Macaca fascicularis: one gene and its partners. The protein of the gene in region 2 purifies or fractionates together with the protein of the main gene of each other region. This does not show direct contact. Links are inferred from orthologs where the notes say so. Each region holds a gene or a part of one and is shown on either strand. Other genes may lie near its edges.

Region 1 (4,246 bases), on a different chromosome or scaffold from region 2:
GTTGCAGCCAGAGTTGACTCCGGTGTACAGGTGTGTGATCTGATGTATATTTGTGTAAAATAAATGTGTTCGTATAGACAGTTGCAAATCAACCTTCAAGACTGCGTGCTTTGGTGGTGGGGAAGGAGGGAGGAGGGGAAGGGTCTTTGGGTGTTTCTTCAGCATTTTCAGGACTTTTGTGGATCAATCCAGCACCCCTGCCCTGCACTCCTAGGAAACACGTGAAGAGCACACACAGTGGCATTCTTGTCGTGTATTTGTGATCTCCTATAGGCAGGCCTGACAGCCCCACCCACTCCCCAGTGTCACTGCTACCATCCACCACGGACATTTGAGTCCTGAACTTGTCATGCTCGGGGAAGTCCTGTGATGTGCCTTGTCCTTCTCCCAGGTGCTCACCCCCAAACACAGGTGCAGATGTGCACAAACAGCCACATTCTGCCGTAGCTGTCTCCAGTCTGATCATGTCACCCCTGCCTTGGCCTGAAGCCCTCCAGCTACTAGTACTGCCCAAAGACCCCTCGAGGGGCAGTTTGTTCTCGCATATTCCGCCCCATCTCGCTCTCCAGCACACAGTAGATGTTCAATAAACTGTTGATCAAATTCTGAGGTCTGCTTGTGTTTAATCAGACAATATGCAAAGTATTTACAACCAATTCTGGATACCCCCACCCCCCCATGTCTGGGCCTTGGAATTTGGGACCCCCAGACCCGGCCCAGAGCCAGGGGTCCCCCAGGCCTCTGCATAGTCATCTGAAATCTACAAAACACTGTTTAAAAAAAAAAAAAAAAAAAGGACAGTATTAAGACACCTTACACAAAGGGCCTTAGGCAGTTGGAGAGGGATTTGAGAACTCGCTGGGGTGAGTGAGCCCAGACTTGACTGGAATGGACGGGAGAAGACTTGGGTAATAAACATGTACGAAAGGAAAAGTTGAAATTTCATAGGCAGGCACTGCTTGACCTCCTTCCCCACTGGCAGGGCCTGGCTGGCTCAAGAACCCTTGGCAGTGGGAATGTTATTGCTATGACGAGGGGGCCATGGTGAAATGTACATGTTTGGGGGACGGAGCAGGGGGGGCATTTTTACATGTTAAATATGGACGCACATGGAGACACACACACATGCACACGCACACACACACAGGGACCCTTGGCAAAATGCCACAAACTGTCAGCTGCCCCTTTACACATGGGCACACTGAGGCCCAGGGAGAATCTACCACACACCCTAAGGCTGAACAGAGCCAGAGCCCAGTCTCCTGACGTCCCAGGGCTGGGCTCACCATGGATGTCCTGCCAGAGGGCCTGGACTGGAGCTGAGCAGTTGCAGAGGCCATGGCCACATGTGGGGCAGACGCTGCAGCCCAGAGAGAAAGCAGGGGCCACCCAAGGTTACACAGCCAGTCCTGGTGCATGGCAGTGGGTAACACGTCCTCTTTCACCCCTGCCTAGGCACTCTTTTCTCTCCTGATGAGTTAAAGGGTGCCAACTTGGGGAGAAGAACAGGGCCAGGAATTGAAATGCCACAGGACAAAGTACGGGGAAGGAGGCCAGGACCAGGGCCTCCTGGACTCTTGGCTCTTCTATGTCTGTTTGATTGCCTCCAGAGCCCCGGGGCTCACTCTCTTTCATGGCCGGCTGGCTCTGAAGGTCAAAAATCACCCACAAGCTGATTGAAGCCTCTCTCTCCACACTTGCACCTTTCACCCTGATTCCCAGCTCAGCCCCACATCTGCCTCCATGCTGTTCCCGACAGCTGGGCTGAGCAGGCAGCGGCAGTGGGAATCTGCCGTCTCGAATGCATCCTCAGACCCCTTGTCTCCTGGACTGTCCCAGTCTTTCCATGATTCCTCTGACGAACTGTTGGTTCCTGAGGAAGACAGAGGGAGCACCAGGTTCCAAGCCCACCTCCACTCTGAACTGCTCCGTAGCCTTGGGCATGTCACATCCCCTCTCTCGACTGCCTCCCCATGGGTGAAATGGGGGCAAGGAAGTGATGATCTCAAAGGGTCCATCAGGTCTAAGGAGGGCAGGGTTTGAGGGGGTACTCATCCCACCCACCCACCATCATCAGGTCAGGCGAGGCCTCGTGCTGCCCAGCCTGGGAGCAGCGGCAGAGGGTCTGTCTCGGCAGCCTCCGCCTACAGGTGTTTCCAGAACGGATGGCGAGGGGCAGGGTGGCAGGCAGGCAGGGCCAGGGCCCTCTTTGGAAAGGCTCTTTGGCCAGCTCTCGACATAGACCGGCGGTGGCACAGAAGTGGGGAAGGAGTTCAGTGAGTGGAGTAGGCTGAGGCTGGAAAAGGGCACCCTCAGCCCCGGACCCAGCCCTTCTCCCGGTTCTTCTTCCAGAGACCCACAGAGCTCCAGGAGGGAGTGCGGGGAGGAGCGTGCGGCTACAGCGGGAGCCGGACAGAGTCACTGTGCTGGTCTCGCACGCCTGCCGCCCTCTCGGGCCACCCTAGGTCCAGAAGCCCCTTCCATGCCACCAAAGAGGGAGGGGCCTCGCCCCTGACAATTCAGCCCCACAGAGAGAGGACCAACAGCAGGCAGGCAGAGCGAGGCAAGCCCCGAGACAGGGGCCACCCAGCCCAGAATCCAAGCCGAGAAGCCGGTCTGGGCCCGCCTGCACCTAGAGGTTCTCCCCGGGCTGGTACTGGGGCTCGGTGGACGTGAAGTAGTCCTCCAGGAAGGCCTGCAGGTACTCGAAGGTGGGCCGCTCCTCAGGCTCCTTCCGCCAGCACTGGCACATGAGGTCGTGCAGGGACTCGGGACACTCCGGTGGGCAGGGCATCCGGTAGCCCCGTTCCACCTGGTCCAGCACCTCGCGGTTCACCATCCCTGTGGGCAGAGCAAGGCATGGGGAGCCCGGCTCCAGTGAGGAAAGTGGGGTGGGGGAAGCTGATGGGGAGGACAGCGAGGGCTTCCTGCCTAGGACAGGTTGAGTGTGACCATAGGTAGGTCCTGTCCCCGAAGCTGAGAGCATGGACCATCGGGAGAGCCTAACATCAGATGCTCAACTTCTTTGTTGTACGGATGGGGAAACGGGCCCAGCAGGAGTCATGACTTGCCCAAGGCCACCAGGGCAGACGGGTTTGGGGACTAGAGACGGGCCATGAGGACCTTCTTACCAGGGTAGGGCACCCGTCCCTTTGTGGTGAGCTCAGTCAGCAGGATCCCAAAGGACCACACATCCGACTTGATGGTGAAGCGGCCATACAGGGCAGCTTCCGGAGCTGTCCACTTGATGGGGAATTTGGCACCTGCAGGAATGAGAAAGGTCGGGGCAGCTCTGACCTCCTGTCACAACCACTCTGGTAGATAAGCACCATGAGGAATGACAGATGAGGAAACAGACTCGGAGCGGGACGTGACCTGTCCCAGGCCAAGCGCAGCATACCACACAGTCCCTGCTCACCTTGCCGGGCCGTGTACTCATTGTCTTCGATGAGCCGAGCCAGCCCGAAGTCAGCCACTTTGCACACCAGGTTCTCTCCCACCAGGATGTTGGCTGCACGAAGATCCCGGTGGACGTAGTTCATCCGCTCCACGTATGCCATGCCTGAGGCGATCTGCAGGTGGAACCGCGGGAGCCCGGCTCAGGTGCCACCCATGCCCTCCCAGGGCCACATAGCACCCCGGGGCTGGAAAGCCAACCACCCCTTCCCCACCCTCCCCACACTTCTTCAGGCAAGTGAGGTCAGTTCACAGTAAATGCTGTTGGCATCGAAAGCAGGAGCAGTGCTCTGCGGGAATAGGGAGCACAGGGCAGAGGGTAGAGGGCAAAGGTCAAAGGGAGGCACAAGATTAGATGCAGCCAGGAAAGCGAGGTGACCATGGAAAGAGGCCCCAGCGGACCCAGACACAGATGAGTGCCAGGTCCTGCCTGCTGCCCAAGTCTCTCTGAGCCTGTTTTCTCATCCGTCCAGTGGGAATAACAGCCAATCCTCGTCACTCCCGGTCGTGATGAGGATTAAATGAAAAAAAACACTTGTTGAGCACTGCCTGCAGCCAGCGCGAACACATGTCTGCTGAGCGCTACATGACCTTTATACAGACGACAACTGAGGCCCGAGGTCCCACAGTAAGTCAGTGACCCCTGGTGCCCAGGTAAGGGCTTTCTGTTGCCCAGAATCACCACTCAGGGCATCTGTAAGCAGACCTGGTAAATACGTGCAGCAAGATCAATGAGTGTGGAGGCAATCAAGGTAGGCTTCTTGGAGGGGGCACTCAAGAGGCCAGAAAT
Region 2 (2,998 bases):
CTGCTCTTTGCTCTCACCTGTAGGGTAATTAAATGGACTCAGTGACTAAAATGCCTCATACTGCCAGTTCCTAGGTAGCCCTGAAATGTGCTCCCCACTCCTCCAAAAAGGCTTCCATCAGAACCAACGCACCAGTGATGTAATAGATGGACTTCTGTGTCTCCTTCATGCGAGAAACATACTCTGACAGAGATGTCATCTCATCTCCAGACTGGGAGGTGTGATAGCGCAGCAGCTCAGACAGGCGGCGGCGGTTAGTGGAGTCCTCGTGGATTCCAAGCTTGAAGGGTGGGAAGAGAAAAAACAATCCAACTTAACTACAATTCACTTTCTATGTGAATGGAAAAATTTGTTAGTAATTACTAAGAAAGTGGTAAAGGGAATAAGCATTTGCTTCTTTACCTTGAGATTTTTAGAGAATGCCTCATAGAATTTCTTGTAATTCTCCTTGTCTTCTGCCAGCTCAGAGAAGAGCTCAAGACACTTCTTAACAATGTTTTTACGAATGACTTTCAAGATTTTGCTCTGCTGGAGCATTTCTCGGGAGATGTTCAGGGGCAGATCCTCAGAGTCAACCACACCACGAATAAAATCTGCCATCAACCAGGATAAGAAAGCTCAGTAAAAATAGCTAGACCAGAGCTGGTACCCAGATTCAAACAGAAGGCTCTAATAGCCTCCTGAACCCTTATACTTACTATGCATTGCAGAAAATCCTTAACCTAGGATATTCTGGCAGAATGCCGAAAACCTCCCAAGACTTCACCCAACTAAATTAGGCCAAGGAGATACTCACTGAGATACTCTGGTATTAACTCATCACAGCTGTCCATGATGAACACACGACGGACATAGAGTTTGATGTTGTTCTTTTTCTTCTTGTTCTCAAAAAGGTCAAAGGGAGCCCGACGAGGAATGAATAGCAATGCCCTGAATTCCAACTGACCTTCTACAGAAAAGTGCTGAAAAAAAACAAAAAATAAGCAAGTGATACATTTCAAAAGAGGGCCTTTTAGCCCCAACACCAAATTACCTAAAAATGGAATAATGATCCTCCCCATAAGCCTAACGGATAGAGCGCACACACAGGCAGTTCCCGAGAAAACTGAGCCTTAATGCCCTCAACGATCTAGACGAATACTAGCTGTATATAGAAAACAGTCCGCTCTGATCAGAACTCTGGATGTGTAAGGCTGCCAATAGACATTACCCAGATTTCCTTTAGAGAAAGTGAGGTCATTAGGAAGGATGGCACTTCACTATGACCGGGTAATCAGTAAGTGAAAATACATAGCTCTCACATTTCTGTTATCAGCTGGACACGTTCCATGTGTCTATTACCTGCCAACACTCTTCCACTTATTCCTCTCCATATTTGCATGTTGACCCAACATGCAAAGGCTTCTCACCTTGACTGCCAAGTGGTCTTCCCAGTCATTGGTGAGGCTCTTATAGAATTCTCCATACTCCTCTTGGGTGATGTCATCAGGGTTTCTGGTCCAAATAGGCTTGGTCTTGTTTAGCTCTTCCTGATCAATGTATTTCTCTTTGATCTTCTTAGTTTTCTTCTTCTTATCCTTACCACTGTCATCCTCCTCATCTGAACCCACATCTTCGATCTTGGGCTTTTCTTCATCATCTTTATCTTCCTCTTCTTTCTCACCTTTCTCTTCCTCTGCCTCATCATCACTAATTTCCTTCTCTCGCTCCTTCTCCAACTAAGTAAGAAAAACAGAAATTAGCCTTGGAGTACAAAACACCAGGAAAAGCAGAAGCCAGGGACCACGAGATTCTCCAGAACAGGAAACATCCTGCACGCTAAGTGTAAAAGGTTTAAAAGTCCATACTCACATAAAGGGTGATGGGATAGCCTATGAACTGAGAGTGCTTCTTCACTACTTCTTTGACCCGCCTCTCTTCCAAGTACTCTGTCTGATCTTCTTTAAGATGGAGGATCACTTTGGTACCTCTGCCAATGGGCTCACCTAGAAGAGTCAATCATAAGCGTGTAACAGGGCGAAAGTATATGCAGTTGAGACTTACCAAATTAATAAAGTATTAGCGGAACTGCTATGAAGAACTGCTTGACAGGATGCTCAAAATTTCTGCTACTGGTGAGCCCACAAAACTCTAACCCAGCTACCTTGTAACAGAAAAGCTAACTTACCATGGTCAGCCCGCACAGTGAAGGAACCTCCAGCAGAAGACTCCCAAGCATACTGTTCATCATCGTTGTGCTTTGTGATCACAACCACTTTCTCTGCCACCAGGTAGGCAGAATAAAAGCCAACACCAAACTGTCCAATCATGGAGATGTCTGCACCAGCCTGCCAACAAGTTTTTGTAAAGTCAAACACAAAATTTAAAGCAGCAAAAAAAATAAAGAACACTGATGAATATGAATGGTGTATGCCTACAGAACTGCAGTACCTGAAGAGCCTCCATGAATGCTTTAGTACCAGACTTGGCAATGGTTCCCAAATTATTTATGAGATCAGCTTTGGTCATCCCAATGCCTGTGTCTACCAAAGTCAGGGTACGTTCCTGAGGGTTGGGGATGATGTCAATTTTCAGCTCTTTACCACTGTCCAACTTCGAAGGGTCTGTTAAGCTCTCATAGCGAATCTTGTCCAAGGCCTGAAACGAATACAAACAGCAACTTACTTTTGCTCTCTCCGAGACAGGCAATTGCTCTGTTGCCCAAGCTACAGTGCAGTAGTAGCAAGGATGACAGCTCACTGCAGCCTTGACCTCCCTGGTTCAAGCCATCCTCCACCCCAGCCTCCCAAGTAGCTGGGACTACAGGCACATGCCACTGTGCTCAACTAATATTTAATTTTTTGCAGAGACAAGGTCTGGCTGTTGCCCAGGTTGCCCTCGAAATCCTAGGCTCAAGTGATCCTCCTGCCTTGGCGTTACAGGTGTGAGTCAACACGCTCGGTCACTTTTGCTTTCTTAAAGCCCGTGTCTTCAAAGAAAATCTTGGTTTACCTCTCTC
Region 3 (4,031 bases), on a different chromosome or scaffold from region 2:
AGCATTTTATTGAGTAATAAGAACTACACAAGTTCTTAAAATGCAAAGTTTAATATAGTTCATATCTATTATGATCTACCATGAGGACATCTCTGCACCAGAGACACTTAAACAGACAAAAATTATGACCTATAATTAGAGAAAATATCTGAAGTTTTTAATCCAGAACTTTAATTAAGAAAAAATCTCAAGTTTTAGGGCATTTAAGAGTCAATATCTTGGACCAGAGGTACTATGAGTAGGGAAACAGTTTGTAACTTAGTTATACTTGGAAAATTCTTAACACTCATATGAAATAAATGCTTTTATTCAAAACCAAAAAAGGCCAACCCAAAGAATTATTTCTGAAGTTTCCTGTGACTAAGAAAAAGCTTCCACTTTAAAGATAATCCCAATATATTTGGGGAAAGGAAAACTAGAGAAAAGAACCACATAGAGGTTTAATTTGCCAGATGTAAGCAGAAAGAACAATATGCTACAAAATATAACAGATGTCAAGACCAACAACACAAGTACATCCTTACAGAGATTCCATCAAGTCTCCCTGACGTCTTCCATAGGGGCTCTTCTGTAGCTCCATGATTTCAGCATGCAAAGACATAATCTGATCCTCCAGGTATCCAATGACACCAACCTAAAATATGATGAAAATACAAAGGAAATGAAAGGCTTACCACTACATCATTGGAAACAAAATTCAGATCTTAAGGATACAGAATGACCTGCTGCTTCATTAGAGAACTAAATAATATAATATGAAACACTGATATTGTTAAAGCCTTTCTATTCTTCAGATTCTGACACTTAATCCTTCACATAAGAACACACTTATTCTTAGTCTTCTCTCTTTTCTCTCCTGACAACAGTAAACTACTAGTATTTGCTTTTACCTCTGGAGAAGCAAAAAGGTACAACAGGTGTCAACTAATAAGAAAGACCAAAACCACTGGTATTACTTGTATCTTGGCTCTATGATTTTGATTGCCTCCTGGCCCCCACTGCCTTGAATAGGGACACAAAAAGATAAAGACCTTGGATTTCCCACCCCAGGACACCATGGGTATTCCCACCCACATCCTCAGGGTAAGTACTGACATTAAGGAGTGTAATAACTTAGGACCATGGACAAATGTACAGGATAAGGGGAAGAAAATCTGCCACCTAGAGAATGATCTATACCTAGGGACACCATATAATTTATTGTCCAAACCAGTGTCATTTTGAGAGTGAAAGGGACTACTACTGATAATTATGGCAAGATATTAGGTATAAACTGGGACAGTCCCACTAAACCCAGATGTGCAGCCATCCTATCTAAACCAGTCACAAAAATAATACTGACTCCCATTTAATCTTCATAACCCTACTAGAAAAGAAATTGTGCCCATAATATGGAAACTAGCTGGATGTGGTGGCTCATGCCTGTAATCCCAGCTCTATGGGAGGCTGAGGTGGGAGGATTGCTTAAGCCCAGGAGTTTGATGCAAGTCTGGGCAATATAGTGAGACCCTGTCACTAATAAAATGTAAAAATTAGCCAGGCATGGTGGTGCACCTCTTGTCCCAGCTACACAGGAGGCTAAGATGGGAGGACTTGCTTGAGCCTGGGAAGTTGAGGCTGCAGTGAGCTTTGATCATGCCACTGCACTCCAACCTGGGCAACACAGTGACCCTGTCTCAAAAAATAAATAAATAAATAAAGGAAACTGAAGCTTAGTAAGGCACTAGGTAATTTTCAAAAAGCCCTTGTTTTTAATCACTATGATACCTCCCTCTTTATATACAAAGCATCTACTAGAATTTTGTCTGAATTTCGGGAATGACATGAAAAATGCTCTTTATATACCAAAACCAAAGACAGTTTCTAATGGAGACATCAAGAATTAATAAGTACACAGAATGTGGTCAATGATTTTACCTCAGCATAGTGGATGGCCTTTTCTTCCATTTCTTTCCATGCTTTTAGCATTTTTTCTGAAGCTAAAAGAAAAGTCTAAATTGGTTATCTCAGAAATAGCCATATCTTTAATTACTGGCCTGCCTGCCTCCTTGCCATATCAACATCAAAGATGTGTTATGAGTTGAATTGTGGCCCCCCAAAAGATATGTGGAATTCCTAACCCCCAATATCTCAGAATGTGACCTATTTGGAAATAAGGTCATTACAGAAGTAATTAGATAAATTAATACTCATACAGGAATGGTCTGGGCTCTTAATCCAGTATGACCAGTGTACTTAGAAGAGACGAGACACAGGATACAGATACACAGGGGAGAATGCTATGTGACAATGGAGACAGATTAAGGTGCTGCAACTGTAAGCCAAGGAATGCCAGTGATGGCTGGCAGACCATAAGACCATAAGAAGCTAGAGAGAAACAAGGAAAGATTCTTCTCTGCAGATTTCAGAGAAAACATGGCCCTGCCAACACCTCGATTTTGGACTTTTAGCCTCCAGGGCTGTGAGACAATAAGTTTCTATTGCTGAAGCCACACAGGTTATAGAACCCTTAGGAAATGAATACAGATGACTGTTTTCTTTCTTTCTTTTTTTTTTTTTGGGGAGATGGAGTCTCACTGTCACCCAGGCTGGAGTGCAGTGGTGCAATCTCAGCTCACTGCAAGCTCCGCCTCCCAGGTTCACACCATTCTCCTGCCTCAGCCTCCCAAGTAGCTGGGACTACAGGCGCCCACCACCATGCCTGGCTAATTTTTTGTATTTTTTAGTAGAGATGGGGTTTCACCATGTTAGCCAGGATGGTCTTGATCTCCTGACCTCGTGATCTACCCGCCTCGGCCTCCCAAAGTGCTGGGATTACAGGCGTGAGCCACTGTGCCCGGCCGACTGTTTTCTTAAAAAAAATATGTATATCAGTGTGGAGATAGGTGGATAAAGGAAAAACCAATTTTTTTTTTTTTTTTGAGATAGTGTCTCACTCTGTCACCCAGGCTGGAGTGCAGTGGCATGATCTCGGCTCACCGCAACCTCTATCTCCAGGGCTCAAGTGATCCTCCCACCTCAGCCTCCTGAATAGCTGAGGTGTGCACCACCATGCCCGGCTAATTTTTGTATTTTTTGTAGAGATGGGGTTCTACCCCACATTGCCCAGGTTAGTCTTGAACTCCTGAGCTCAAGGGATCCACCAGCTTCGGCCTCCCAAAGTGTTGAGATTACAGGCGTGAGTCACCACACCTGGCCAGAAAAGAAATTTAATACTTGAATGTGATTTTTAAAAATTAAATACTATAAAAGGATATAAACAGAAAAGACTCTGTCTTCCTCCCTTCTACCATCCACCTCAAGGGACCTTACTATGATTATTTGTTACACAGACACATACCCTGCTCCCTCGCAAGTGAAACCACTGGTATACTCTCTATTTTTTCCCACAATTTAAAACTTTTCTGTCAACTAAAGACCCAGGTGATCTTTTAATAAAGCACATACAGATCTACCTCATTCTTCTTTAACAATTGTATAATAAGCCTTTGACAAGTCTAAGGTATTTTAATGAAATAATTATATTTTATCACTTGCCAGAATGTCAATAATATACAAATAGAGATAAAATAACAATATTATTAATAAAACCAGTTCTGGAGAGTAAATTCATTCACCCAACTGGACACTATTGATTGTTTATTCTGAGATACACATACTTTGCTCAGGACAAGTGTACAAGCAGTATTTGTTTCCTAAAAAGGATTTGTTTTATAAAAGAAAACAGAAATGCTGGTAGTGACTCCTTCAATTTACTCATATTTTAACTCTGTCTTTTTACATTTCCTTAGTGCATCTGAAGGAGATAAGCTTGGAGTCAAATATTGAAAATTTGGAGATCGTGTATGCAAAAAATAGGACTCCACGGTAGATGGTTTGAAAAAAATCATAGCCTTAGAATATTTGTGTCATTATTTACAGAAAGGTAAGTAGTTTAAGACTCCCCTGGTTGTCTTAGTCCATTTGGGCTACTATAAAAAAATACCATAGACTAAGTGCCATAAAAACAATAGAAATTTATTTCTTATAGT
Region 4 (3,640 bases), on a different chromosome or scaffold from region 2:
CTGCCTTAGGTGTGACTGTGTGGGAGCTGATGACTTTTGGGGCCAAACCTTACGATGGGATCCCAGCCCGGGAGATCCCTGACCTGCTGGAAAAGGGGGAGCGGCTGCCCCAGCCCCCCATCTGCACCATTGATGTCTACATGATCATGGTCAAATGTGCGTGGCTGAGCTGTGCGGGCTGCCTGGAGGAGGGTGGGAGGTCCTGGGTCGAGAAGCCCACAAAGGGCATGAAAGGGGACCAGGATGTATGTAGACCCAGGAACCCTGGTATATTAGGAGCCTCAAAACCTTCTCATATCCCTTTTACAGTCAAAGTCCAAAGCCACTCTTGAGGAACAACTAGAGAACCTTATGTACAATATTAAGCTGGGCACAGTGGCTCATGCCTGTAATCCCAGTACTTTGGGAGGCTGAGGTGGGAAGATCCCTTGAAGCCAGGAGTTCAAGACCAGACTGGGCAACACAGTGAGACCCTATCTCTACAAAAAATAAAAAAATTCGCTGGGTGTGGTGGTGTGTGCCTGTAGTCCCAGCTACTCGGGAGAGGCTGAGGCAGGAAGATCACTTGAGCCCAGTTGAAGGTGGCAGTAAGCTATGATTGCGCCACTGAAATCCAGCCTGGGCGACAGAGTGAAACCTCATCTCAAAAAAACAAAAAAGCAAACAAAAAGAAAAAATATTAAAAGGGAAACTAGTAGAGATGCCCGAAGGTTCTGGCTGAAGCCCCCAGAGTCTGGTACTACTTCTCTACCACCAAGGGCTTTGGGCTGTCCCTTGGGACTGTCTAGACCAGACTGCAGTGGGAGTGGGAGGGGAGGCAGCAGGCACACAGGGCCGGGGCTAGATGCTGGCCTCCCTCCTGCCCCAGGTTGGATGATTGACTCTGAATGTCGGCCGAGATTCCGGGAGTTGGTGTCGGAATTCTCCCGCATGGCCAGGGACCCCCAGCGCTTTGTGGTCATCCAGGTACTGGGCCTCTGTGCCCCATCCCTGCCTGTGGCTAAGAGCACCCTCCTGCAGAGGGTGGGAAGGAGAGATGAGTCCGGTGTGTCAGGCCCCTCACCTGCTATGAGCCTTCTTCATGGAAGGCTGCATGCTGAGCTGGGGAGGGGCCACCATCCCACCTCTCCTTCCTCCGCAGAATGAGGACTTGGGCCCAGCCAGTCCCTTGGACAGCACCTTCTACCGCTCACTGCTGGAGGACGATGACATGGGGGACCTGGTGGATGCTGAGGAGTATCTGGTACCCCAGCAGGGCTTCTTCTGTCCAGACCCTGCCCCGGGCACTGGGGGCATGGTCCACCACAGGCACCGCAGCTCATCTACCAGGGTCAGTGCCTTCGGTCACACTGTGTGGCTGCTTACCTCCTCCATCCCTGGTGGACTAGGGTCCCTTTCTCTGATGTTCCCTCAACTGTCACCTCTCAAGGAGACCCCATTATCCCTACAAAAAATTCTTACTGCCTTCCAACCTCTGTGACCCCATTCTCTCCACGGTGATTGTGTCGTACCCCAAAGGTGACCTGTTTTTCTCCTGTGACCCTGTCACCTCCCATGGAGTCCCCATCCCAGATCCATTAAGTGACTCCCATCATGACTTACTTTCTTGTCCCCAGAGTGGCGGTGGGGACCTGACGCTAGGGCTGGAGCCCTCTGAAGAGGAGGCCCCCAGGTCTCCACGGGCACCCTCCGAAGGGACTGGCTCTGATGTATTTGATGGTGACCTAGGAATGGGGGCAGCCAAGGGGCTGCAAAGCCTCCCCGCACATGACCCCAGCCCTCTACAGCGGTACAGTGAGGACCCCACGGTACCCCTGCCCTCTGAGACTGACGGCTACGTTGCCCCCCTGACCTGCAGTCCCCAGCCCGGTATGGAGTCCAGTCTAAGCGGAGAGACTGATGGGCGGGGTAGGGGGGACCCTCAGCCCAGGGTCCACTGTGGGGGCAGAGGGAGTGGCAGCGACACCGGGGTTCCTTCCCCTAATAGGTCATCTTCTCTTGGCCTTTCAGAATATGTGAACCAGCCAGATGTTCGGCCACAGCCCCCTTTGCCCCAAGAGGGCCCTCTGTCTCCTGCCCGACCTACTGGTGCCACTCTGGAAAGGCCCAAGACTCTCTCCCCAGGGAAGAATGGGGTTGTCAAAGACGTTTTTGCCTTTGGGGGTGCTGTGGAGAACCCCGAGTACTTGGCACCCCGGGGAGGAGCTGCCCCTCAGCCCCACCTTCCTCCTGCCTTCAGCCCAGCCTTCGACAACCTCTATTACTGGGACCAGGACCCATCAGAGCGGGGGGCTCCACCTAGCACCTTCAAAGGGACACCTACGGCAGAGAACCCAGAGTACCTGGGTCTGGACGTGCCAGTGTGAACCAGAAGGCCAAGTCCGCAGAAGCCCCGATGTGTCCTCAGGGAGCAGGGAAGGCCTGACTTCCACTGGCATCAAGAGGCGGGCGGGCCCTCCGACCACTTCCAGAGGAATCTGCCATGCCCAGAACCTGTCCTAAGGAAACTTCCTGCTTGAGTTCCCAGATGGCTGGAAGGGGTCCAGCCTAGTTGGAAGAGGAACAGCACTGGGGAGTCTTGGTGGATTCTGGGGCCCTGCCCAATGAGACTCTAGGGTCCAGTGGATGCCACAGCCCAGCCTGGCCCTTTCCTTCCAGATCCTGCATACTGAAAGCCTTAGGGAAGCTGGCCTGAGAGGGGAAGTGGCCCTAAGGGAGTGTCTAAGAACAAGAGCGACCCATTCAGAGATTGTCCCTGAGACCTAGTACTACCCCCCATGAGGAAGGAGCAGCAATGGTGTCAGTATCCAGGCCTTGTACAGAGTGCTTTTCTGTTTAGTTTTTACTTTGTTTTGTTTTTTAAAGATGAAATAAAGACCCAGGGGGAGAATGGGTGTTGTATGGGGAGGCAGATCTGGGGGGTCCTTCTCCACACCCACTTTCTCCATTTGCAAATATATTTTGGAGAACAGTTAGGCACCGGCCTATGTCTGGGGGTAGCTCTGCACCATCCCTTCCTGCTCACCTTACACTCAACTCCTCTTTTCCTGGAGGGAGTGACCAGGAATCTTCAGAAAGCTTGGATGAGGAGCCTGACATCCAGTTCTCTAGCTTCAGGGTTGGGGGGGATCGGGAAGCTGGATTCGGATCCGAGAGCCCTTTAACAACCAGATCATTCTTTCTTAGAACGAATTCCTAAGGCCACTCACCAGAATGGGGTTATTTCCTCCTTGTGAGTCAGGAGAGTGGCGGTTGAGTGGGCGAAAGACGAGGCAGGGTCTACTGTGGGACTCATTTTCCTTGCCTTGGCTATGCCAGAGGAGCTCACTGACCTAAGGAGTAGCTGTCCAGAAAGCCCACCCAAGCCAGCACAGCCACCCTGGCGGTACAAAGGCTGGGCCGGCCGGACTTCTGTGCCCCCCACATTCCCAGATTGGACATATAAAAACACACACTAGTTAGCATTAGTGTTTGTAGTGCCACTTTACTGCCAATGGCTGACATTGCCCTGGGTTGGGGAAAATAAATAAAATCTACTGTGGCATCAGACAGGTATTACCGAGGTGAAGAGTGGACCAGGCTTTTGTGGGCACTTATCCTGGGAAGGGGGTATAAGGTGGCTGGGGAAGTGTCCGTGGAG
Region 5 (4,031 bases), on a different chromosome or scaffold from region 2:
ATCTGCCTACAGGCACACAGCTAGTATGTGGGAAGGCAGAGATTTGAACCCAGGCTGCCTGGCTCTCTAGGACCTATCAAGTGGCAGCTTCCCACATGGCCTGCACACTCCTGTAAGGGTCACCTGCCTGTCAACCTGACTCACAAGAAGTCCCGCATCCTCACAACCAACCCAGGAGGTGGTGGATCTCGGCAGATCCCCCAAATTATGGTAAAGTCCCTGATAGGTCAGGGCAGGGGGCCTTGTCCAGATAGGATACCAGAGCCCAAGTCTCACTCAACCAGTTAACACCCTGTGGCCAGTTGCCCTCCTGGTTCGGAGGAGGGGATGGTCTCAGGACTAGGAGCCACCATCAGGTCCCAAACAGCCTGCAACAACCAGCAGCCACAGCTGCCCAAGAGCCTGGGATGAGAACTCCAAGCAACAGACTCCGCTGCTTCTTCACCTTTCACCCTGACCTCTCTGGCCCTTTGTCCCTGCATCTGTCAAACGGCACTGCCCGCCACCGCCCCAAGCTGCTGTGGGATGGATGAGATGAGACTCTGTGGGAAGCCCTTGGCACGGTGTCTGGCACACGACTCCTGCTCAGTGTTGGCTGTCGTGGCCGCCCTCCTCCTGTCGTTGCCGCCCTCCTCCTGTCGTTTTGCTCAGTGCCCATGGCTGGCAGCACTGTGATGCCACCCCAGGGTTCCCGGGTGCCTGGTACCTGACAGGTGCATTACCTGGTAGGCGCATTTCCGGTGCAGTTTTTTCTGGTCCTTGTACCACTGCATGAGCTCCTTCATGAAAGTGATTGTCACTTTGCCATCCTCAAGCTTGGGTCCGCTGTACTCATCCTCAATGGCTGGGGTGTGAACGAGGGGGGACACGAGAGTCAGTGACCACAGCCACTGTGAGTGGGGAAGAGGTCTCGCTCCTAGGGATGGGGCAAACCTGGCTCTGGACACACAGGTTGAGAGAGGGACGGAGCAAGTGAAGAGTCCCCTCCTGGGTCAGGTCTGGCCCAGAGGCCTCTTCCTGACCTCCCTCTCTACCTTCACCCACATCCTTTTACCCTATTCAGTTTTATGGCACTTAGCACTATTCATTTCGTGACTTGTTCATCATCTTATCTCCCTCCTAGAATATCAGCTCCATGAGGACAGGGAGGGCTTTGTTCATAGCTGTACCCCCAGTGCCTAGGACAGTGCCCGGCACATAGGAGATGCTCAATAATCATCTGTGGGATGATCCAGAACAATCACTTGGATCCTCTCAGCACCTAGAGGTGAATCAGACACAGCCTGTGGGGCCTGTGCTACTACCCAGAGGGAGGGCCCGTGAACTGGCAGTGGGTCCACGGCTCCCCAGTCTTGCTCACTGGGAAACGTGAGGCCCTGCTTTGGGCTGTGGATGGAGTGCCCTGGAACACAGGCAGAGGAGTGACAGACAGTAGGCTGGGGACAGAACAAGGGGCCACCCCTGAGCCCACCCCCACCCCCAGGGAATGAAGAGGGCCCGCGTGGAATGTTCTGGGCTGAAGCATGGCGCGCCCGGGCCCGACTCACTCATGCTCTCGATGTCCAGTGAGTCCACCACGGAGCGCTTGTGCTCGTCGCCCGCGATGGCCCGCTCAAAGGCCTTCTGCTTCACGATCTTGTTGCACTCCTGGTATTTCATTTTGGCGTCCTTGTCGTGGGGCTTCACCTTGACAACCTGGTGGGGAGGGAAGGAGTGTGCACGCTGAGGCTGAGGTGGGGGTACAGCGGCTGCCCCCAGGCTGCCCAGCCCTGGGTTCCATGAACACGGAAGTCAGACCGCCTGGGCGCCAGGTGCTGACGGTGCAACCCTGGACATGTTTAACCTCTGAGCCTTGATTTCTGCACCCCAAAACTGGGTACAGCAAAGCTGCCCGCACGGGTGCACTTCATCAATCTTAGCCAAGAGTGCGCTAAAATCAAACAACTGCCTGTCTGAGGGTTATGGGCTCAGGGTGCCCTGTAAGAATCCCTGTGGGGCGAGCGACGTCCCAAGCACATGTCCTGATGCTACTATCGTGACTACCAAGGCGGCAGGAGGATGAGAGGAAGGGCCCGCAAAGGGCCAATGACTTGCTGGACGACATGGGCTCCCCAAGCCCAGGTTACCTCATCTCTAACAGGGAGGTGACACAGGGCTCCCCTGCCAGGGCTGTGGGAAGTAATAAGTAACACACAAGGCCTGGCACGCAGCAGGGGCAGGCGGGCAGCAACACTGAGTGCTGTCACTTCTCTTGCTCACCCTCTGGGGAGGCCTGGGACAAAGGATTTCCCTGTTTTGTCCACTGAAGAGAGGAACTGAGGGTCACAGATCCCGGACACTGGGTTCAAATCCCAGCTCTGTAGGTCATGAGTTGGGTGACCTCAGGCAGGTGAGTCTGCTTCTGTGGCTCAGTTTCCCTCTGAGGTGGGACTGAGAACCGTGTCTCCCTCAGAAGGCCGCGGTGAGAGCTGCACGGGTGAATCTTGTGAACTCTGCACAGTGGTGCCAGGTGAAAGGAAACTCCACGTTGGCGCCCACTGCTCTTCACGGTCCCCGCTCTGGGGCTGCTGCGCTGATGACCAGATCAGATGATAGGCGTGGGGCGCTCGGCTTTGGGACAGAGCAAGTTCCCAGTGAAGGGAGCCCTATCCTCTCCCCTCTCCCCATCTTATTTACTCCAATTCCTGCAAACTCGGATCTTCTAACCTGAAAAGCAGACTGGATTTGGGAGCTGGATTCGGATCCTGGCTCTGCTACTTACTTGCCGTGTGACTTTGGGCAAGTGACTTCACCTCTCTGAGTCTCAGTTTAGTCATGTAGACCCTGTCTGACCTGCCCACCAGCCTTAGCCTCCCCAGGAGCGGACCCCCACAGCTCCTGTGCCAGAGGACAGACTGGGAGGCCCCAGGGCCGGCCCTCAAGGAGCAGGGGTGGCCTCTGGTGGAAAGCCTGGCAGTGTGAGTCAGAAACCTCCAGAGACACCCACTGACCCCTGCAGGCTGGTGTGACAGAGGTGAGGGGTGAGGCTCATCCACGCTGGGAACAGGTGTGTGTGTCAAGCGGGGTGAGAAGAGCCCATGCCTAGCAGGCCACGGCTTCCTCCCTGTCTGGGCAGGCCCAGGGCACCCTGCCAGGCAGCTCCACCTGGGCTGTGGGTGGGTGTAAGGCAGGGGAGGAAGATAGCACCAGGCAGCCCCTGGCATCCTTCCCAATGGGGAGCGGTTATGTGCGCACACCCGGCTGGTGTCCAAATCAGCATGTGTCCTGGCCCATGCGGCTCCTCCCACCCCTCTATACCTCCCAGCCAGACCACTCATGTCCCCAGCGTGCTGGCTCCGGGCCTTTGTGCAGGCTGCCCCTGCCCGGAGCACCTCATTCGCACCTCCACCTCCTCCTCCAGGTCTCAGCCCCACTGTCCCCTCCTCTAGGAAGCCCCAGAGGCTGGGTCAGGCAACCTCTCTGGGCTCCCAAAGGCCCCTGGGCTCCCTTGTTCCAGCCATGAGCCCTGCTGGGAACCGGTCTGTCCACCGCACTGGAAGGGGGCCCTGTGAGGGCAGGGCTGAGGCTCAGCCATAGCTGTGCTTGCAGCAGTGAATGAATTTCCCTTCCCCTCTTTCTCCAAACAAATGAATGAGTGACTGAGCATTTCCTCCCCGCCAGTCTCCTATTCTCCTATTCTCCGGGGGCGGGCGGGCTAGGAAGGAAGATGAAGGCAAACAATAACAGTGCAGGCAGGAGAAAGGGAGTGGGAATAGCAACAGGGGCAGCGGAAGCAGTAATAATACACAGCTCACTTCTGGAGCACTGACTATGCGCCTAATACCGTGTGAGCAATTCACTTGCTCATTTATCCTCCCTGCACCTCTACATGGCAGTGTTTTCACAATCCTCATCTGACAGACAGAAAACCAAGGCCCGGGGAGGTGAAGTTGCCCACCCAGAAGCCAGGATTCCCTTCTCTTCCAGGCTAACCTGCGCCAAAGTCCAGGCTCCTGATTTCTGCCATGCACGCTGGGAGGGGCTCCCCTTCT
Region 6 (4,031 bases), on a different chromosome or scaffold from region 2:
AAAACCCCGTCTCTATTAAAAATACAAAACATTAGCTGGGCATGGTGGCAAATGCCTGTAATGCCAGCTACTCAGGAGGCTGAGGCAGGAGAATCGCTTGGACCTTGGAGGCGGAGGCTGCAGTGAGCCAAGATCGCACCATTGCACTTCAGCCTGGGCAACAAGAGTAAAACTCTGTCTCAAAACAAACAAACAAATATGTATAATCCAAATCTAGCCAGAAGGAAACATGAGACAAACCCATACTGACAGACATTCCACAAAATAAGTGATCTGTAATCTTCAAAGGTGTTAAGATCAAGAAAGTGTACTGCAGTTGAGTCACATGATCACAAAAATATGAATGCAAACTTTTTAAGTAAAAAAAAAGTGGAGGAAAGACTGAGGAGCTCTTCCATACCAAAGGAGACTAAAGCTACATGATGACTAAATACAGTATGTGATTCTGAACAAAACCCTTTTGCTATAAAGAATTTGTGAAACCCGAACGGAGGGTTAGACGGTAGCAGTGAATTAAAGTAAATTTCCTGCTTTGATAGCTATATGGGTATTATTAGAAAAATGTCTTTTCGTGTAGGAAATGCACACTAAAGTATTCAGGGGTGATGGGACATCAGTTGGCATCCTACTCTCAAATGTTAGAAAAAGAAAATTCTTTATGCTGGAAATTGTGATTTTTTTATTTAAAAAATCCCAACAGTGGAATGTTATTCAGCCTTAAAAAGGAAAGAAATTCTGGCTGGGCATGGTGGCTCACGCCTGTAATCCCAGCACTTTAGGAAGCCAAGGAGGGTGGATCACTTGAGGCCAGGAGTTCAAGACCAGCCTGGCCAACATAGCAAAACCCCATCTCTACTAAAAATACAAACAAAATTAGCTAGGTATGGTGGCGCATGCTTGTAATCCCAGCTACCTGGAGCCTGAGGCATGAAAATCACTTGAACCCTAGAGGCAAGGCTGCAATATCTGAGATTGCACCACTGCACTCCAACCTAGGTGACAGAGCAAGATTCTGTCTCAAAAAATAAAAGCAAATAAAAAGGAAGACAGTTCTGGCTGGGTGTGGTGGCTCACACCTGTAATCCCAGCACTTTGAAAGGTAGAGATGAGTGGATCACTTGAGGTCAGGAGTTCGAGACCAGCCTGGCCAATGTGGTGAAACCCCATCTCTACTAGAAATACAAAACTTAGCTGGGTGTGGTGGCACGTGCCTGTAATACCTGCTACTCAGGAGGCTCAGGCAGGAGAATCGCTTGAACCTGGGAGGCAGAGGTTGCAGTGAGCCAAGATCAGACCACTGCACTCCAGCCTGGGTGAAAGAGTGAGACTCCGTCTCAAAAATTTAAAAAAAAAAGGAAATTCTGACACATGCTACAATATGTATGAAACTTGAAGACACGATGTTAAGTGAAATAAGCCAGACATAAAAGGACAAATACTGTATGATTCCACTTATATGAAGTACTTAGAATTTCAATTTGGGATGATGAAAAAGTTTTGGAGATGGCTGGTGGTGATAGTTGCACAACAATGTGAATGTTCTTTAATGCCACTGAACTATATACCTAAAAATGGTTAAAATGGTAAATATTATGTCATGTATATTTTACTATAATTTTCAAAAAAAAAAAAAGCAGTCAGTTTCTCCTCCCTCTACCAGCCTTCCCCCCACCGCAAAAAAAAAAAAAAAAAAAAAAAAAAAAAAAATTAATTCCATAGAGGAATGAAATAAAACTTCTCTTACCTCCAAATTATCAGGGCAATATTTTTGCTCTAGGTCCCAAGAGGGTGTTTCACCAAACATCACCATTAGATGATCAATAAACCTAAAGATAAAATGTGTACTTTCTGGGTATCAATAACTCATGACCAATTTTCCCACATCAGTCCCCAGACACTAATTCAAAGTTATCTAGCATGTGTAAAACATGAAATGCAGGCTTAACCTATTTGACAGCAATACCCAAAATGTGCATATGTATCACTTGTCCTATTATGACATTTTTTTTTTTTCTTTTGAGACAGGGTCTCACTCTGTCACCCTGGCTAGACTACAGTGGCATAATAGCTCACTGTAGCCTCGACCTCCAGGCTCAAGCAATTCCTCTAACTTAGCCGCCTGCGTAGCTGGGACTACAGGTACATGCCACTATGCCTGGCTAATTTTTTTCTTTTTCTTGTGGAGACGGGGGTCTCCTATATTGCCCAGGCTGGTCTCAAACTCCTGGGCTCAAATGATCCTCCTGCCTCAGCCTCCCGAAGTATTGGGATTACAGGTGTGAGCCCTGCACCTGACTGACAGGATTTTCTTTTCTTTTTTTTTTGAGACAAAGTCTTGCTCTGTCACCCAGGCTGGAGTGCAATGGCACGATCTCTGCTCACTGCAACCTCCACCTCCCAGGTTCAAGCGATTCTCGTGCCCCAGCCTCCCAGGCAGCTGGGACTACAGGCATGTGCCACTACGCCTGGCTAATTTTTTACATTTTTAGTAGGCATGGGATTTTGCCATGTTGGCCAGGCTGGTCTTGAACTCCTGGCCTCAAGTGATCCTCCTGTCTTGGCCTCCCAAAGTGCTGGAATTACAGGCGTGAGCCACCGTGCCCAGCTGACATAATTTTCTTTAAACAGATTCAGGGTTAAAAACATTTCTGGTCGGGTGCAGTGGCTCATGCCTGTAATCCCAGTACTTTGGGAGGCCGAGGTGGGAGGATCATTTGAGCCCAGGAGTTCAAGACAAACCTGGGCAACATAGAGAGACTCTGTGTCTACCAAAGAATTAAAAAATTACCCAGATGTGGTGGTGTTCACCTGTGGTTCCAGCTACTTGAGAGGCTGAGGCAGGAGGATCACCTGAGCCTGGGAGATGGAGGCTATGATGAACCATAATCACACCACTGGACTCCAGCCTGGGCAACAGAGCCAGACCTGGTCTCCAAAAAAAAAAAAGATTACAAAAAAAAATTGTCTTACAATTAGACTTATTCTATGCATTAACCCTATGAAATCACAAGATACATACATATATATATATATATATATATATATTTTTTTTTTTTTTTTTTTTTGAGACAAAGTCTTGCTTTATCACCCAGGTTGGAGTGTAGTGGCATGATCTTGGCTCACTGCAACCTCCACCTCCCAGGTTCAAGTGATTCTCATGCCTCAGCCTCCTGAGTAGCTGAGATTACAGACGCCCAGCTAATTTTTTGTATTTTTAGTAGAGACTGGGTTTCACCATATTGGCCAGGCTGGTCTCAAACTCTGGCCTTAAGTAATCTGCCTGACTTGGTCTCCCAAAGTGCTGAGATTACAGGCATGAGCCACAGCGCCCGGTCTCTCTATTTTTTTTCTAATTAATATTCACTTAAGTTGCTATGCATGTATTACCTAAAATGACTTCATATTTCACCAGTGATGTATACCACTCTTTGGCAAACACAATACTGTGGTGTTACACATACTAGCCCAGTCAGTACGATGATGAGACTTTTGTCTGTCGTTGCAAACCTAGTCAGTCAAGGTTCAGTCAGCTACAGGATAGAGAGATTTCACACCAGATTGTGTGAAACCCTCTAAACCATTATCTTCCCTTCTCAACCAAAAATCCACTTGTCCCTCCTGTCACAAAAAGAGACAGCATGCAAGTAAAAGCAGAGGGCTCCTGGGCAAGTCAGTACCTGGAGTCCTCATGAAAAGCAGAGATGAAGTCCGACTGGGCATACTCTGGGTACAGAAAGAGCACAGGCCAGCTCAGCCTGCCCTGGTCATCTAGACTCAGCCTGGCTCCATGGGGGTTCTCAGAGCTGAGTCCATCCAGGAAAAGCTCACCTAGACCTTCTGAGGGTGAATCTTCATCCTCACAGGCAGCTTCTGAGAGCCTGATATTCCTAGCCTGGGTTAAAGACAGAAACACACACATAATGCACATCTTATTGTGTGGGAGGATGCAAACCCATTTTACTGAAGTAAAGAAACCCTAACACTTGGCTAATTTTTTTATTTTTTATTTATTTTTATTTTTTGAAGAGACT
Region 7 (4,789 bases), on a different chromosome or scaffold from region 2:
CTCAGTCTCCCAAAGTGCTGAGATTACAGGCGTGAGCCACCGTGCCTGGCTCTGATGCCCACTTTCACAAGTAACCTTCAGGTCTTTTTAATGATAAAGCACCATATTTACTGTAGTATTTATTTATTTATTTATTTTCTTTAGAGATGGAGTCTCAGTCTGTTGCCCAGGCTGGAGTGCAATGGTGCGATCTCAGCTCACTGCAACCTCCACCTCCTGGGTTCAAGCAGCTCTCCTGCCTCCGCCTCCCGGGTAGCTGGGACTATAAGCACGCGCCACCACGCCCGGCTAATTTTTTGTATTTTTAGTAGAGACGGGGTTTCACTGTGTCAGCCAGGATGGTCTCAATCTCCTGACCTCATGATCTGCCCGCCCTGGCCTCCCAAAGTGCTGGGATTACATGCATGAACCACCGCGCCTGGCCTGTATTTATCTATTTCTTACCATTTAATGTGCACAAAACTATGCTACCAATTTTTAGTGCCTATATTTTAAAAAAAAGTGTCTGCCAGACACAGTTCGAGACCAGCCTGACTAACATGGTGAAACCTGTCTCTAATAAAAATACAAAATTAGCCGGGCGTGGTGGCAGGCACCTGTAATCCTACTTGGGAGGCTGAGGCAGGAGAATTGGTTGCACCCAGGAAGTGGAGGTTGCAGTGAGCAGAGATCGCGCCACTGCACTCCAGCCTGGGCGACAAGAGTGAAACTCCGTCTCAAAAAAAAAAAAAAAAAAAAAAAAGGGGGGGTCTGGGCAAAATGACACCAAAGATTCCTTCCATACTACTATGCTTCAAGTGTACTTTAAAAACAAATGAACAAAAATCAAGGACAGATAAATCTACTTTCACCCTTTTTTATGATAAGACTATTCACTTTAGAAATGTTTATCAAAGCACAAATTTCATGCCTTGCCTCATACCCAGACAGTAGCTATCTCATACTCCTTTAACTTTATTGTCTTTTTACATTCAGGCTCTCGACAGTCAGGACTGTCCAAAACGGGCATACGCATGACCTCAATTTTTTCCTAATGTCATACAGAAGGGACACAAAACTAGAAGAGAGATAAAACAGCCCCAAATTACTGTCACACACAAGCTTCTTTTTAATTTGTTAGAGTCACACTGAGGAGAGTAAAAAAAAAAGATCAAGACCAAAAAAACAAAAACAAAAACAAAAACAAAACAAAAAAACCCCTCCTTCCTTCTTTTAAATCACTCACGAGATACATGTAGCTAGTCTGAAGAAATATCACCTTAGGTGTTCCAACAAAGACCAAGGCCCAAACATGCAGTGGCCCAGCCACTTCATGGGTGGGACTGATGAGACCCGGAGAGAGGAAATCCATTTAGCATCCCACAATGGCAAAGAAATTTCAGTACCCAATACTGCTTTACATAGGACTGCAAAGCAGCAACATCTGTCTTCTCCCTTCAACGTTTGTAACTCCTCAAAACTGTTCTCTCCAGCTACTTAACAGGTTAAACAAAACACAGTTAATCTCTCTGACAGCCCAGCTTAGACTTACCTGTCCAGTTTAGTTTGACGCTCCATTCGTAAAAGAAGATAAGTTTCCCTTTGCGATTGTTAATGGACGCCTCTCCATCAAGCTTACTCACTTCTGTCACCTCACATTTGCCTTCTTCATTTTGAACCTGCACTGCCAGGAACAGTGTTTTCAGCTTATCCGTGGACCAATTTGAAGCATCTCTCTCCGTCCTGCAAAGCAGAAACAAAGCTATGAACTAGCAGTCAAATGGAGGATATACTGCTCTATGCAAGAGAATACGAGGTTAAAGGAGGCCTGACAAATAGTTTGAAAGGAACACAAAAACTCCCAGTCCCACTCCAGTATGTCCACAAACATGTCACCCTTTTCTAGGAAGACAAGGGGTTGCACACTGTCAACAAAGACAGCTGCTGTAGAGAATGGTATAAACTCAATGGCATGATGGTGCTGGAGAATACTTGATACTTTAACATGGCGCCCCCATTTGACCAAGTGGAAAACTGCACATATTGCTCTGATCAGGAACACAGACTGGACCATGGAAAAATAGTACTTAGCTAAAAGGCCCAGAAAGGATTCAACCAATAACCCTGACCTCACTGGCACAGTGTTCTGACCTATCAGATTCGCACTTGTATTATAAACTTCCTACACATTCACTGCCCCCTAGATGGCCACAAAAACGTTAAGACAAGGGCTTCAAAACAACAAAAATTAGGTCAACTACTCTGCATGTTAGAAGAGAGAACACAAAGTGAGATATGGAAAAGAAACATCACTATCTGCCCTCCTGCTTATCAACTATTAGAGAAAACAACAGCAAAGAAAGCTGCAACAAAGTAACGGTACAATACAAACATTATGAACAGAATTCAGTGGAATTCAAAAGTAAGGAAACATTACTTTGGGAAGATTTCATGAAGCGGGGCAGTATTTTAAGAACGGACAGGTTATAAAACCACGGCTGCTCGGCAACCTGGAGTTCCAACACACCTGACCTGACAGTTCCGGGTGAGAGGCCGCAGCTATCTGAGCTCTGAGCACCTGCACAACACGTTCTCAATCTCCCGCGGGACTGCTGCAGCGGTCCCCTATGAATGACTTTTAATTTTACTGCAAGCCGCAAAACAGGAATTACAGACCCCTGGCCTTAGGCCTTTCACAGCTGTCTCCCAACACAATCAAAAGAGGTTCCAGTCTCAGTGACTCCTCTGGCCACGTGTAGTAAGCACCTCCCTGCTCGGGCTGGATGCAGCAGCCAGGGCGTTATCTCCCAGTCTCTCTGACAACCCTCCTCTGGGGCGCTGCCCTCCACGTCCATCTCCCTCCCCTCAAGCACTGAGAAGGTGGCCGGGGAGTGGAGAGGCCTGGGGCTACGGACCCCTGCCACAGGAAGGACCCGCCCCCATCTCCGGACAGGGTTACTTCAGCCCCAGCTCTGTCCGGTCCGAGGTTCCAGGAACCCTGGAACCCTGGCCCGGCCGCAGGTCTCCCAAGGCCGGCCTGCTTTGCTGGCCCTCACCAGTGCCAGTTGTTGACGTTGGTGGCGTCCGCCCGCTCCTCCACGATCCAGCGTGGGTCTCCCTCACCCCACTTCGCCATCAGCTCTCCTATCGCGGCGCCACCAGCTCCGGAGCTGCCGCAGCCACAGCCTCAGGACCGCTTAGTGCCAGCCGCCCGGCAGCGCCTGGAAACTACTAGAAGCGGCCGCAAGCACCTCCTGGCTTGCTTTTCCCTCCACCCCCTCCCCTTCTTAACTTCCGGCTCCTCCCCACTTCCACCGGCTACTTCCGTCCCAACTCGCCGCACCGTGGGTTCCATCTGATTTAGTGTTCCTTCGGACTCCCTCAGGTTCTCCCCAAAAAGGGTCCCGAAACCCAACTGCTCATACAACCATTCCTCACCCATAGGAAAACAAAGAACACGTCTCATTGTTTCCCTGGACCCTAAATCGGCCTTGCTGAGCCTCATGGGACTTGTAGTCTTCTTACGTGACCCGCTGCATAACCGCGGAAGGTCGCCCTGAAGGGAGAGGAAATGACCTAGCACAGTGCGTGGGGTTTCTGGGGGCTGTAGTCAAGAAGCCTTGTGGTTCATCGGGACGGCGCCTGACAGCAGAGGCAGAAGAAACTACAACTTCCAGCATGCCCTGCGGCCTCTTTATTCGCGTTTTCTCCCCGCCGCGCGATTATTCCTTTCTGCCCCCTTCTCTAAGCTGCACAGCCTGAAAAGAGAGGCTGTTCCAGCGGCGGCGGAGGCTGACGCAGTCCTGAGAGGGAGGGCTCTGTGCGTAAGAGGTGAGGGTGTCCCAAGCCCCTTGGGTCGCTTATCTGGCTGAGTCCAGCCTCTCCGCATCTTGATCTTTTCCCCTCTTCTAGGAGGCATCCCTACATCCTACGACCACAGGCCTGATTCTCTTCTTTCAGTCAGGGCGACCCTTGGGCGCTGGAGTACGCTTGGGAATGGGGCTGCGAGTAAGCACCAACGATTGGTTCGGAAGCGGACATTTGGTTCAGAAAGAGCATTTAACTCTGCCAGGGATCCGCTGGGCTCTGACGACTGCGGTAGATCCATGGCTTCCTGGACGTTCACCCGTAGAGTCATCCTAGCTTAACTCATGTTCCCTGGTCTCAGTTCACAAGCCTCACCTGTATCTTCCTGGCTCGGAAGATAATTGAAACCAAGTCTGACTTTCTCAGAAGCTGGTTTTTGGAGTTTTCTGAGGCAGGGAGGATGTTGTGGTTTTCTTGCTGATCCTTCTGTTTTCTTTTGTAAAGTTCCTGTTCTCCCCTGAGATCCCTCACCCTGCCTTGTGGTCTGTCAGTAAACAGGAGACGACAAAGATAAACCTCTGAAGTGTTTTAAATCATGTTGAAGCACCTGTCACTCTTAAGATTGTACCTGATTACTTATAACTCTGGAGCTATTAGATCATTATCTATACTTGTCAAGTAAACCTAGCTTCTCATTTGGCGTTATAAATACAAATTGATGGCAGGTGTCTACTGCCATTGCATGGTTTAAAAGATTTCCAGAAATCCTCTGGCAGGTTATTGTGTTTGTTAGACATATTCTATGTCTATTTGTAGATAACTACTATAGTGAAGGAATGATCTCTAGTTTTCCAGAGAGTGAAAAATAGATAGAAGGACCATGCAGGACACTAGAAATGGTCTAGAAGCCAGAAAGCCTGGATTGTAATTTGAAATAGCACGTAACAAGGTGGCTTTGATACTGAACTCTTTTGTGCCTCCCTTTCCCCGTGAGTAACATGGA

What was found.
Region 1: the proteins of HSP90AB1 (region 2) and SRC purify together in Homo sapiens (affinity purification with mass spectrometry; 3 studies listed by BioGRID and IntAct, with this or other methods). This does not show direct contact. The link is inferred for Macaca fascicularis from reciprocal best matches to the Homo sapiens genes HSP90AB1 and SRC.
Region 3: the proteins of HSP90AB1 (region 2) and CHUK purify together in Homo sapiens (co-immunoprecipitation; 3 studies listed by BioGRID and IntAct, with this or other methods). This does not show direct contact. The link is inferred for Macaca fascicularis from reciprocal best matches to the Homo sapiens genes HSP90AB1 and CHUK.
Region 4: the proteins of HSP90AB1 (region 2) and ERBB2 purify together in Homo sapiens (co-immunoprecipitation; 5 studies listed by BioGRID and IntAct, with this or other methods). This does not show direct contact. The link is inferred for Macaca fascicularis from reciprocal best matches to the Homo sapiens genes HSP90AB1 and ERBB2.
Region 5: the proteins of HSP90AB1 (region 2) and PPP5C purify together in Homo sapiens (affinity purification with mass spectrometry; 6 studies listed by BioGRID and IntAct, with this or other methods). This does not show direct contact. The link is inferred for Macaca fascicularis from reciprocal best matches to the Homo sapiens genes HSP90AB1 and PPP5C.
Region 6: the proteins of HSP90AB1 (region 2) and TTC4 purify together in Homo sapiens (co-immunoprecipitation; 3 studies listed by BioGRID and IntAct, with this or other methods). This does not show direct contact. The link is inferred for Macaca fascicularis from reciprocal best matches to the Homo sapiens genes HSP90AB1 and TTC4.
Region 7: the proteins of HSP90AB1 (region 2) and AHSA1 purify together in Homo sapiens (affinity purification with mass spectrometry; 6 studies listed by BioGRID and IntAct, with this or other methods). This does not show direct contact. The link is inferred for Macaca fascicularis from reciprocal best matches to the Homo sapiens genes HSP90AB1 and AHSA1.

Annotation. Positions count from the first base shown.
Region 1 is NC_088384.1:93,513,306-93,517,551, reverse strand, and holds the end of SRC (proto-oncogene tyrosine-protein kinase Src), read right to left. Parts: intron 3,573-4,246; coding exon 3,419-3,572; intron 3,264-3,418; coding exon 3,132-3,263; intron 2,842-3,131; coding exon 2,633-2,841; 3' UTR 607-2,632; downstream 1-606. UniProt on the Homo sapiens protein: Non-receptor protein tyrosine kinase which is activated following engagement of many different classes of cellular receptors including immune response receptors, integrins and other adhesion receptors, receptor protein tyrosine kinases, G protein-coupled receptors as well as cytokine receptors.
Region 2 is NC_088378.1:127,266,926-127,269,923, forward strand, and holds part of HSP90AB1 (heat shock protein HSP 90-beta), read right to left. Parts: intron 2,638-2,998; coding exon 2,431-2,637; intron 2,328-2,430; coding exon 2,168-2,327; intron 1,986-2,167; coding exon 1,852-1,985; intron 1,719-1,851; coding exon 1,410-1,718; intron 963-1,409; coding exon 797-962; intron 594-796; coding exon 403-593; intron 281-402; coding exon 133-280; intron 18-132; coding exon 1-17. UniProt on the Homo sapiens protein: Molecular chaperone that promotes the maturation, structural maintenance and proper regulation of specific target proteins involved for instance in cell cycle control and signal transduction. Undergoes a functional cycle linked to its ATPase activity.
Region 3 is NC_088383.1:109,147,799-109,151,829, forward strand, and holds part of CHUK (inhibitor of nuclear factor kappa-B kinase subunit alpha), read right to left. Parts: intron 1,980-4,031; coding exon 1,918-1,979; intron 635-1,917; coding exon 525-634; intron 1-524.
Region 4 is NC_088390.1:60,788,791-60,792,430, forward strand, and holds the end of ERBB2 (receptor tyrosine-protein kinase erbB-2), read left to right. Parts: intron 1-9; coding exon 10-156; intron 157-868; coding exon 869-966; intron 967-1,141; coding exon 1,142-1,330; intron 1,331-1,616; coding exon 1,617-1,869; intron 1,870-2,010; coding exon 2,011-2,366; 3' UTR 2,367-2,890; downstream 2,891-3,640. UniProt on the Homo sapiens protein: Protein tyrosine kinase that is part of several cell surface receptor complexes, but that apparently needs a coreceptor for ligand binding. Essential component of a neuregulin-receptor complex, although neuregulins do not interact with it alone.
Region 5 is NC_088393.1:54,404,098-54,408,128, reverse strand, and holds part of PPP5C (serine/threonine-protein phosphatase 5), read right to left. Parts: intron 1,696-4,031; coding exon 1,548-1,695; intron 845-1,547; coding exon 723-844; intron 1-722. UniProt on the Homo sapiens protein: Serine/threonine-protein phosphatase that dephosphorylates a myriad of proteins involved in different signaling pathways including the kinases CSNK1E, ASK1/MAP3K5, PRKDC and RAF1, the nuclear receptors NR3C1, PPARG, ESR1 and ESR2, SMAD proteins and TAU/MAPT.
Region 6 is NC_088375.1:179,942,881-179,946,911, forward strand, and holds part of TTC4 (tetratricopeptide repeat protein 4), read right to left. Parts: intron 3,893-4,031; coding exon 3,678-3,892; intron 1,827-3,677; coding exon 1,745-1,826; intron 1-1,744.
Region 7 is NC_088381.1:145,412,990-145,417,778, reverse strand, and holds the start of AHSA1 (activator of 90 kDa heat shock protein ATPase homolog 1), read right to left. Parts: upstream 3,262-4,789; 5' UTR 3,116-3,261; coding exon 3,036-3,115; intron 1,723-3,035; coding exon 1,532-1,722; intron 1-1,531. Other genes in the region: VIPAS39 (spermatogenesis-defective protein 39 homolog), read left to right, coding at 3,976-3,987. UniProt on the Homo sapiens protein: Acts as a co-chaperone of HSP90AA1. Activates the ATPase activity of HSP90AA1 leading to increase in its chaperone activity.